Oryctolagus cuniculus: one gene and its partner. The protein of the gene in region 1 binds, or shares a complex with, the protein of each later gene. Links are inferred from orthologs where the notes say so. Each region holds a gene or a part of one and is shown on either strand. Other genes may lie near its edges. The genes, in order: TOX4 and WDR82.

Region 1 (4,585 bases):
CTCCGCTTCCCATCCAGCTTCCTGCTAATGTGTCTGAGAAAGTAGTGGAAGATGGTCCAAGTACCTGGGCCCTTGCTACCCACATGGGAGACCAGGAAGTAGCTCCTGGGCCCTGGCATTTGAGAGTGAACCAACAGATGGAAGATTTCTTTGTCTCTTCCTCTCTCTAACTCTGCCTTTCAAATAAATAAACCTTAAAAAAACTGCATTTGTGTGGCAACTACACACACACACACACATATATATATATACTGTATGTAGCTTATACATATTATATATGTTACTATGTATATTATTTACTATATATTTTATTTGGGTGAGGGTTATGTAAATCAGAAGGAAGGGTCTGTTAAAGTGCCTTCAGACCATAACTTGCCACAAACTGCCTTTTATTTCTTTTTAGAGAGTGATCGCCCATCCACTGGTTCACTCCCAAAATGGCATTAACAGCCAAAGCTGGGCCAGGCTGAACCAGGAGCCTAGAACCCCGTCCGGGTCTCCAGAGAAAGTGGCAGGGGCATAAGTACATGGGCCATCCTGCGGGGCTTTCCCAGGCCCATTAGCAGGGAGCTGGATCGGAAGTAAAGCAGCTGGGACGTAAACCATTGCCCCTATGGGAAGCCAGCGTCACAGGTGGCGGCTTAGCCCACTGCGCAACAACGCCCATCATCTGCCTTTTAATTGTTAGGCTGGGATGGCTCTTCGCTTCGCTTGGTCCTCTCCACCACACACACACACACACACACACAATCCAAGTACTGGTGTTGACTCTGAAACACACAGTATGAGGCTGGCACTCATATATCGCAAATCTGAGATGCGCTTTTGAATAACGCTGCTCGGCTTCCGCTGGATTTCCCATAAACATTTACACCCTATGGGAATCGGTCCGTACCTCGCACATCTCTGGACTTCCCTTCACAATTATTTATTCCTCTTTACACCACTCTTCACTGAACCTAACTTCGCACTAGTTTTAAGCGGTGAGAGGCAACTTTTGACTTGAGGACACGGAAGACAGCTGAGCTTTCCACCTGGGCAGTTCAGCGAGCCAAGGCTTTATGATCGGTTCTGGAACAAACAGCTGCACTTACCTATTGTGAGGTCGTGGACTGGCTGGAACCGCTTGTCTGTAAACTGCAGGAGGAGACATGACTTCCCCACACCTGAAAGGGGAGGACGTGCGTGCCAGGAGCCCCGCGGCCCAGAAACACCTCCCGGAGTCCGGGCGTCAGGGACGCGGGAAGGGGCGCCCCGAGCCCGAGCCCCGCCCCCGGCCGCCCCGCCCCGCCCCCGCCCGTTCCTCGCGAATCGCCCAACCCACTGAGCGAGCCCCGCCCCCGCGGCCCGATTTGGGAGCTTCGGGTGCCCGCCTCAGCCTTCGAAGGCGGCCCGCTCGCGGATTACCTGTGTCCCCGATGATGATGTACTTGAAGAGATAAGCATAAGTCATGGTCCCGATTCCTCCGGATTCCGGGTCCGCCCGACTTCTACATCCACTTGCCTCCGACCTCTCTAGCCACTCAGTCTAGCGATCTCCTTGTTTTTCCCTCTCCGGCCCCTCTAGCCAGATCACGTCTCTACTGCTCTCCCCAGAAATCCACAGCCGGACCGATGCAGTCAACGCCGCCTCCAGGGACGCCTCTAGCACCTCTACATGCCATTATCCCACCACGCTCCAGGGGGCGATATCTACCTTTTCCATCTGCTCGGCGCCTGACTCGCAGCCCCACGACGCTCCTTCCAGTCAGCGGAGAGCGACGCACTTCCTTGCGGAAGTGACGGCAGTTCCGAGGCCAGTGGGGGCGGTGGGAGCAATGAGGGGTCTGAGACGGTGGTAGAAAAGTGGTGTGAAGATGGAGGTAGGAGCCCGGGCGCTAAGAAGGCTTGGCGAGAGAGCGCCGCCGATCGGGTTGCAGCAGAGGCGGGAAGGGAGAGGCGGCTGACGGGAGAGGAGAGACAGCCGGGATTGGGGAGTGCTGTCAGAATGTCGGGATCGGAATCCGGGGCTCCAAGCGAAGTCCGTGCTCCCCCTAACTTATCACCGCGGCTTTCTTTTGGTTTCCAGTTTCCCGGAGGAAATGACAATTACCTGACGATCACAGGACCCTCGCACCCCTTCCTGTCAGGCGCCGAGGTGAGCAAGAGCCGCCGACGCTGCGGGAGGGGTGGGCCTGCGGCGGTGGGGCGGTGGGGAAGGGCGTGCGGACGCTGGGAGACCCCGGCTGGGACCCGGGGGGCGCGGTTGGTGTTCGGGGGGAAGTGGCAGCTGCTTCTAGAGCCTATCAGGACTGCCCGGGGAAGTCCTGGGGAAGCTGCTGTCACCAGAAAACCAGGGCGCTGGAAAGCGAGAACCGGCTTAAGGAGGAGAGTGAGTCCGGGTGGGGAGATGGGGGGGGGCTGTCTCCTTTTTGTGGGAGAAATACCCACGACGATCCTGGGGGATCACAATGGGAAGCAGAATTTTCAGCAGCTAACGAAGTCGGGTGAGGGGAGAAGCTCACCTAGCAGGGACTTAGCCAGGGGCCTGTGTTCACGAGCTGTGCTGAAGGGTGCGGTGGCGTTTTTGTTATTTAACTTTTCTACTGTGATAAAAAGTTAGTTACTTTTACCAACAAGGTATCAGCTTGCTTTGCTAGAGAACTTGTGCGTGCACGCGCGCGCGCCCCTGAGGACATTGTGCATTACTTCACCTGGGTATGTCACAGTTTCCTCAGCTGTCCCATAGCTGTAATAATAGTTTCTTATGATGTTGTAAAGTAAAAGTAATGCTTCTGGTGAGGTCCTAAAGGGTTGGTGAAAACGTTTGGGTTGAAATATTGCCATACTGTAGATATGTATCAGTTGCTTAGGCCAGACCAAAAAAAAAAAAGGGTCGGGGGCGAGAACGAAAAAAAACTTCCCAGACTTTGAGGGGGAACTATGAAGCAAACCTTCTACCATCTTTTGAAGTTCTTAATTTTTTAATTTTTTTTTCAAAAGTGGTGTAGACTTTTTTTTTTTTTTTGCTACTAAGAATTCTCAGTTGTTAAATGACTTTATCCTATAATAAATCCTGATATTTTCATGGATAAAAATTAGATTGGCCAGAGACAGTTGCTGACTCTTTAATTTCTTTGTTACTATTTTTACTATGCCAGGGGGACATGTAAATCAAATGTGCAATAGATATAAGAATGACAGAGTACTATCTGGTGCCTTTAAAGTTTTGGTACAAGTTTCCCATAAATGAGGGTCTCCTTGGTTTAATTTCATTATTTGGAGTCTTGTAAATCTCACATTAGCCTCAACTATATGAGTGTATTATTGCCAATCTCTTCTCAATCAGGTCTCCACAGTTTAAATTTGTTGTAAAGGTCACATTAGCTTCATTCATGAGAAAGCAGATGGTAAAATTAAATACAAATAGTTTTTTCTTTTTTAAAGATTTATTTATCTTTATTTGAAAGTCAGAGTTACAGAGAGAGGAGAGGCACAGAGACAGGTCTTCCATCCAATGGTTCATTCCCCAGATGGCCGCAATGGCCAGAGATGCACCGATCTGAAGCCAGGAGCCAAGAACTTCTGGGTCTCCCACACGGGTGGAGGAGCCCAAGGACTTGGGCCATCTTCTACTGCTTCCCCAGGCCATAGCAGAGAGCTGGATTGGAAGAAGAGCAGCTGGGACTAGAACCGGCACCCATATGGGATGCCTGTGCCTCAGGCCAGGGTGTTAAATGTATTGATTGTGCTTTATCCTTTAATCCTTTTATGAAGTTGAGCAAGCAGGAGGTAACTTCCTAAAGATGACTTTTTTTTTTTTTTTTAAAGATTTATTTATTTATTTGAAAGGCAGAGTTAGAGAGAAAAGGAGAGACAGAAGTCTTCTATTTGCTGGTTCACTCCCCAAATGGCTGCAATGGCCAGGGCTGGGCCAAGCCAGAGCCAGGAGCCAAGAGCTTCTTCCAGGTCTCCCACGTGGGTACAGGGGCCCAAGCACTTGGGCCATTTTCCACTGCCTTCCTAGGCACAAGAGCAGGGAGCTGGATTGGAAGCAGAGCACTGGAACTCAAACTGGGTACCCATATGAGATGCTGGCACTGCAGGCTTCAGCTTTACCTGCTACGCCACAGCATTGGTCCCTATCAAGAAACTTTACAGGATGGAGCCATGTCCAAGTGTTTTGGGGCTGGCACTTTGGCACAGCGGGTTAACACCCTGACCTGCAGCGCCAGCATCCCATATGGGTGCCAGTTCTAGTCCCGGCTGCTGTGGCCTGGGAAAGCAGTAAAAGATGGCCCAAGTCCTTGGGCCCCTGCACCCATGTGGGAGACCTGGAAGAAGCTCCTGGATCCTGGCTTCAGATTGGTAGAGCTCCGCCCGTTGCGGCCATCTGGGGAGTGAACCATCGGATGGAAGACCTCTCTCTCTCTCTGCCTCTGCCTCTCCTCTCCTCTCTCTGTGTAACTCTGACTTTCAAATAAATAATCTTTTTTAAAAAAGAAATTAAGTGTTTTTTTCTTCTTAAGAAGCTTATAGCTAAGTTTTAGTCTCAATTTAGCTAACTTAGCTAACTTACCATAGGCTTTCTATCATTGTTAACAGT
Region 2 (3,809 bases), on another chromosome or scaffold:
CACTGTACAATGCGATTTGAACTATATTATGGTGTATGCTTACCATCTACCTACCAGGAAAACAGGTTTTCTCCCATATTTAAGAAGACTCTGGGATCCCAGAATAAAACCACTGCTTTCTCCTTTAAGAGGGAGAGATAATACTGACTACTAAAGAAAATGCCCAAAAATTTTATCTGTAAGGTACCATTACCTGGCAGTTAGGAGACCGGAGATCCCAGAGTCGAATGGTCTTATCAAGAGACCCAGAAATGAAAGTGTCATCCACAGGTGACATAGACAAGGCCACCACCCTGCAAAGTATCAAGATAAATAGGAGTTGAGGCAAAACTGGATGTGAACTCTAAACCACTCCACCTACCTATATATACCTGTTGTCCCAAACTGCCATGTTAAGAAATACACATACACAAGCATATCTGGGATAATCAAAGACAACTAGTATAATGAAAAAAGCAACTTAAAGCCTTAGTATAAATATATAAAAAAAAAAAAAGATAGTGGAGAAACGGGAACTCTCATACATTTCTGATGGAAATGTAAAATGGCACAATTGCTCTAGAAAACATTTTTCCAAAAACAGTTATTATGACCCAGAAATTTCACTTCTAGGTATATACTCAAGAGAACTAAAAATGTTCATGCAAAAACATATACCAATAATCATACTATCATTCACAATAGTCAGAGTAAACAAAATCTCAAATGTCTATTAACTAACACATAAAGAAAATATACCCTACAGGGGCTGGTGTTACGGTTCACTGAGTTAATCCACTGCTAGGGATAGCCGCCTCCAATATCGGAGTGCTAGTTTGAGTCCCAGTTGCTCCACTTGCTCCACCTCCAATCCAGCTTCCTGCTATTATACATGTGGGAAGGCAGTGGAAGATGACTGAAGTACTTGGGCCCTTGCCACCCATGAGGGAGACCCAGATGAAGTTTCTGGCTCCTGGCTTTGACCCGGCCCAGGCATGGCTGCTGCAGCCAGTTAGGGATGAAATCAGCAAATGGAAGATCTTTCTCCATCACTCTGCCTTTCAGATAAATAAATAAATAAGCTTTACCACCATCACCCACATATATCTCTCGCCATACAATGCAGTGGAATATTACTTGACAATAAAAAGGAATGAAGTGCTGAGTCATGAGTCAATAAAGAGTAATTTTGGGAACATGCTAAATAAAAGTCAGACACGAAAGGCCTTAGTATGATTCCATTTACAGAGAATGTCTAGAATAGTCAAATCTTTTTCCTTTTTTCAAAGATTTATTTATTTGAAAGGCGGTTAGAGGCAGAGGTATAGAGAGAAATAGAGAGAGAGGTCCTCCATCCACTGGTTCATTTCTGATGGCTACAACAGCTGCAGCTACGCCGTTCTGAAGCCAGGAGCCAGAAGCCTCTTTCGAGTCTCCAACGCGGGTGCAGGGGCCTGAGAACCTGGGCCATTTCCACTGCTTTCCCAGGCCATAGCAGAGACCTGGATGGGAAGTGGAACAGCTGGGACTTGATAGGCGACCATATGGGATACCAGTACTGCAGGTAGCAGCTTTACCCGCTATTCCACAGCATCAGCCCCAATAGGCAAATTTTTAGAGACAGAAAGTAGGTTAGTGTTTGCCAAGGACTTGGGGAGTGACTAATGGACACAAGGTTACTCTTTCGGGTAATGAAAACTTTCTGGAATTACATAGTGCTGACAGCTCCAGAATTCTGTGAATTTACTAAAAACCACTGACCTATATATCTTTTTTTTTTTTTTAAAGATTTATTTATTTGGCCGGCGCCGCGGCTCAATAGGCTAATCCTCCACCTAGCGGCGCCGGATTCTGTCCCGGTTGCCCCTCTTCCAGGCCAGCTCTTTGCTGTGGCCCAGGAGTGCAGTGGAGGATGGCCCAAGTGTTTGGGCCCTGCACCCCATGGGAGACCAGGAGAAGCACCTGGCTCCTGCCATCGGATCAGTGCAGTGTGCCGGCCGCAGCGCGCCAGCCATGGTGGCCATTGGAGGGTGAACCAATGGCAAAAGGAAGACCTTTCTCTCTGTCTCTCTCTTTCTCACTATCCACTCTGTCAAAAAAAAAAAAAAAAAAAAAAAAAAAAAAAAAAAGATTTATTTATTTACTTGAAAGTCAGAGAGTTATACAGAGAGAGAAGGAGAGGCAGAGAGAGAGAGAAAGAGAGAGAGAGGTCTTGCATCTGCTGGTTCACTCCCCAACTGGCCACAACAGCTGGAGCTGCGCCAATCTGAAGCCAGGAGCCAGGAGCTGTATCCAAGTCTCCCACACGGGTGCAGGGGCCCAAGGACTTGGGCCATCTTCCACTGCTTTCCCAGGCCATAGAAAGGAGCTGGATCAGAAGTGGAGAAGCCAGGACTTGAACCGGTGCCCATATGGGATGTGGGCACTGCAGGTGGCGGCTTTACCTGCTACACCAGAGCACCAGCCCCCATATGTCTTTTTTTTTTTTTTTAATTCATTTTATAAATATTTACACAAAAGGCAGAATTAACAAAGAGCAATGGAGAGACAGATCTTCCATCCGCTGGTTCACTCCACAAATGTCTGCAAAGGCTGCAGATGGGCCAGGCTGAAGCCAGGAAGCAGGAGATTCAAACAGGTCTCCCATGTGGATGCAGGGGCCCAAGGACTTGGGCCATCCTCCGCTGCTTTCCCAGGCAGATTAGCAGGGAACTGGATTGGAAGTAGAGCAGCCAGGATTTGAACAGAAGCCCATATGGGATGCCTGTGCTACAGGTGGCAGCTTAACCTGCTATGCCACAGCACCAGCCAAGGATATACCTCTCAACAGGGACAGTTTATGGTATTGAATATTTCTCAATCAGAACAAGATTCCTTAACAAGATGTTTGTGGACTCCATCAATGTTCATCACATGAACACTGTGGCCAAGACGCTAATGTGGCATTAGCATCACCTGAAGGCAAGGTCGAGCTAGGATGATGAGATCCATTCTTAGAGCTTCTAATCCAGTAAGTCTGGGTAGGAGTTAGATCTGAAGATGTGAATTTCTTCTTTTTTTAAAAAGATTTATTTATTTATTTGAAAGGCAAAGTTACAGAGAAAGGGAGAGAGAGATTAATTTTCTATTTGCAGTTACTCTCCAAACGGATTTAACAACCGGGGCTGGGCCAGACTGAAGCCAAGAGCCAGGAGTTTCATCTGGTCTCCCGTGTGGGTACAGGGAACCAAGCTTTGGACCCTCTTCTGCTACTTTTCCCAGGCACATTAGCGGGGAGCTAGATTAGAAGTGGAGCAGCTGGGGCCAGCACTGTGGCTCAGGGAGTTAAAGCATTAAGCCGAAGTTTGCGGTGCCGGCATCCCAAAAGGGCGCCAGTTTGAGTCTTGGCTGCTCCATTTCCAATCCAGCTCCCTGCTAATGACCTGGGAAAGCAGAAGATGGCCCAAGTGCTTGGGCCCCTGCACCATGTGGGAGACCCCGAAGAATCTCCTGGCTCCTGGCTCCAGATCCTGGCTCCGACCACTGTGGCCCTTGAGGAAGTGAACCTGTGGATGGTTCTTCCTCTCTCTTTTTCTCTCTCTCCTTCTCCCTCTCCCAGCCCCTCTGTAAACTCTGCATTTCAAATAAATAATCTTTAAAAAAAAGAAACAAAGAAAAATTCCACACTTGACGTTATGTGATGGATCACAACTAAAACACAGGTATGCTAAAAGTAATCAGGCCTATGTCCTTCAGATAAATATGAACCATGAATGAATTTCCTATTGAGATTCAATGGCCTCCCCAATATATTTCAATATTTATAGACACATGTGTCAAAACCCAACAAA

What was found.
Region 2: TOX4 (region 1) and WDR82 share a complex: the UniProt entries of both Homo sapiens proteins name them as parts of the PNUTS-PP1 phosphatase complex. The link is inferred for Oryctolagus cuniculus from reciprocal best matches to the Homo sapiens genes TOX4 and WDR82.

What each region holds. Positions count from the first base shown.
Region 1 is NC_091443.1:53,460,177-53,464,761, reverse strand, and holds the start of TOX4 (TOX high mobility group box family member 4), read left to right. Parts: upstream 1-1,730; 5' UTR 1,731-1,856; coding exon 1,857-1,862; intron 1,863-2,068; coding exon 2,069-2,137; intron 2,138-4,585. Other genes in the region: RAB2B (ras-related protein Rab-2B), read right to left, coding at 1,095-1,166, 1,408-1,453. UniProt on the Homo sapiens protein: Transcription factor that modulates cell fate reprogramming from the somatic state to the pluripotent and neuronal fate. In liver, controls the expression of hormone-regulated gluconeogenic genes such as G6PC1 and PCK1.
Region 2 is NC_091441.1:97,455,490-97,459,298, reverse strand, and holds part of WDR82 (WD repeat-containing protein 82), read right to left. Parts: intron 294-3,809; coding exon 194-293; intron 1-193. UniProt on the Homo sapiens protein: Regulatory component of the SET1/COMPASS complex implicated in the tethering of this complex to transcriptional start sites of active genes.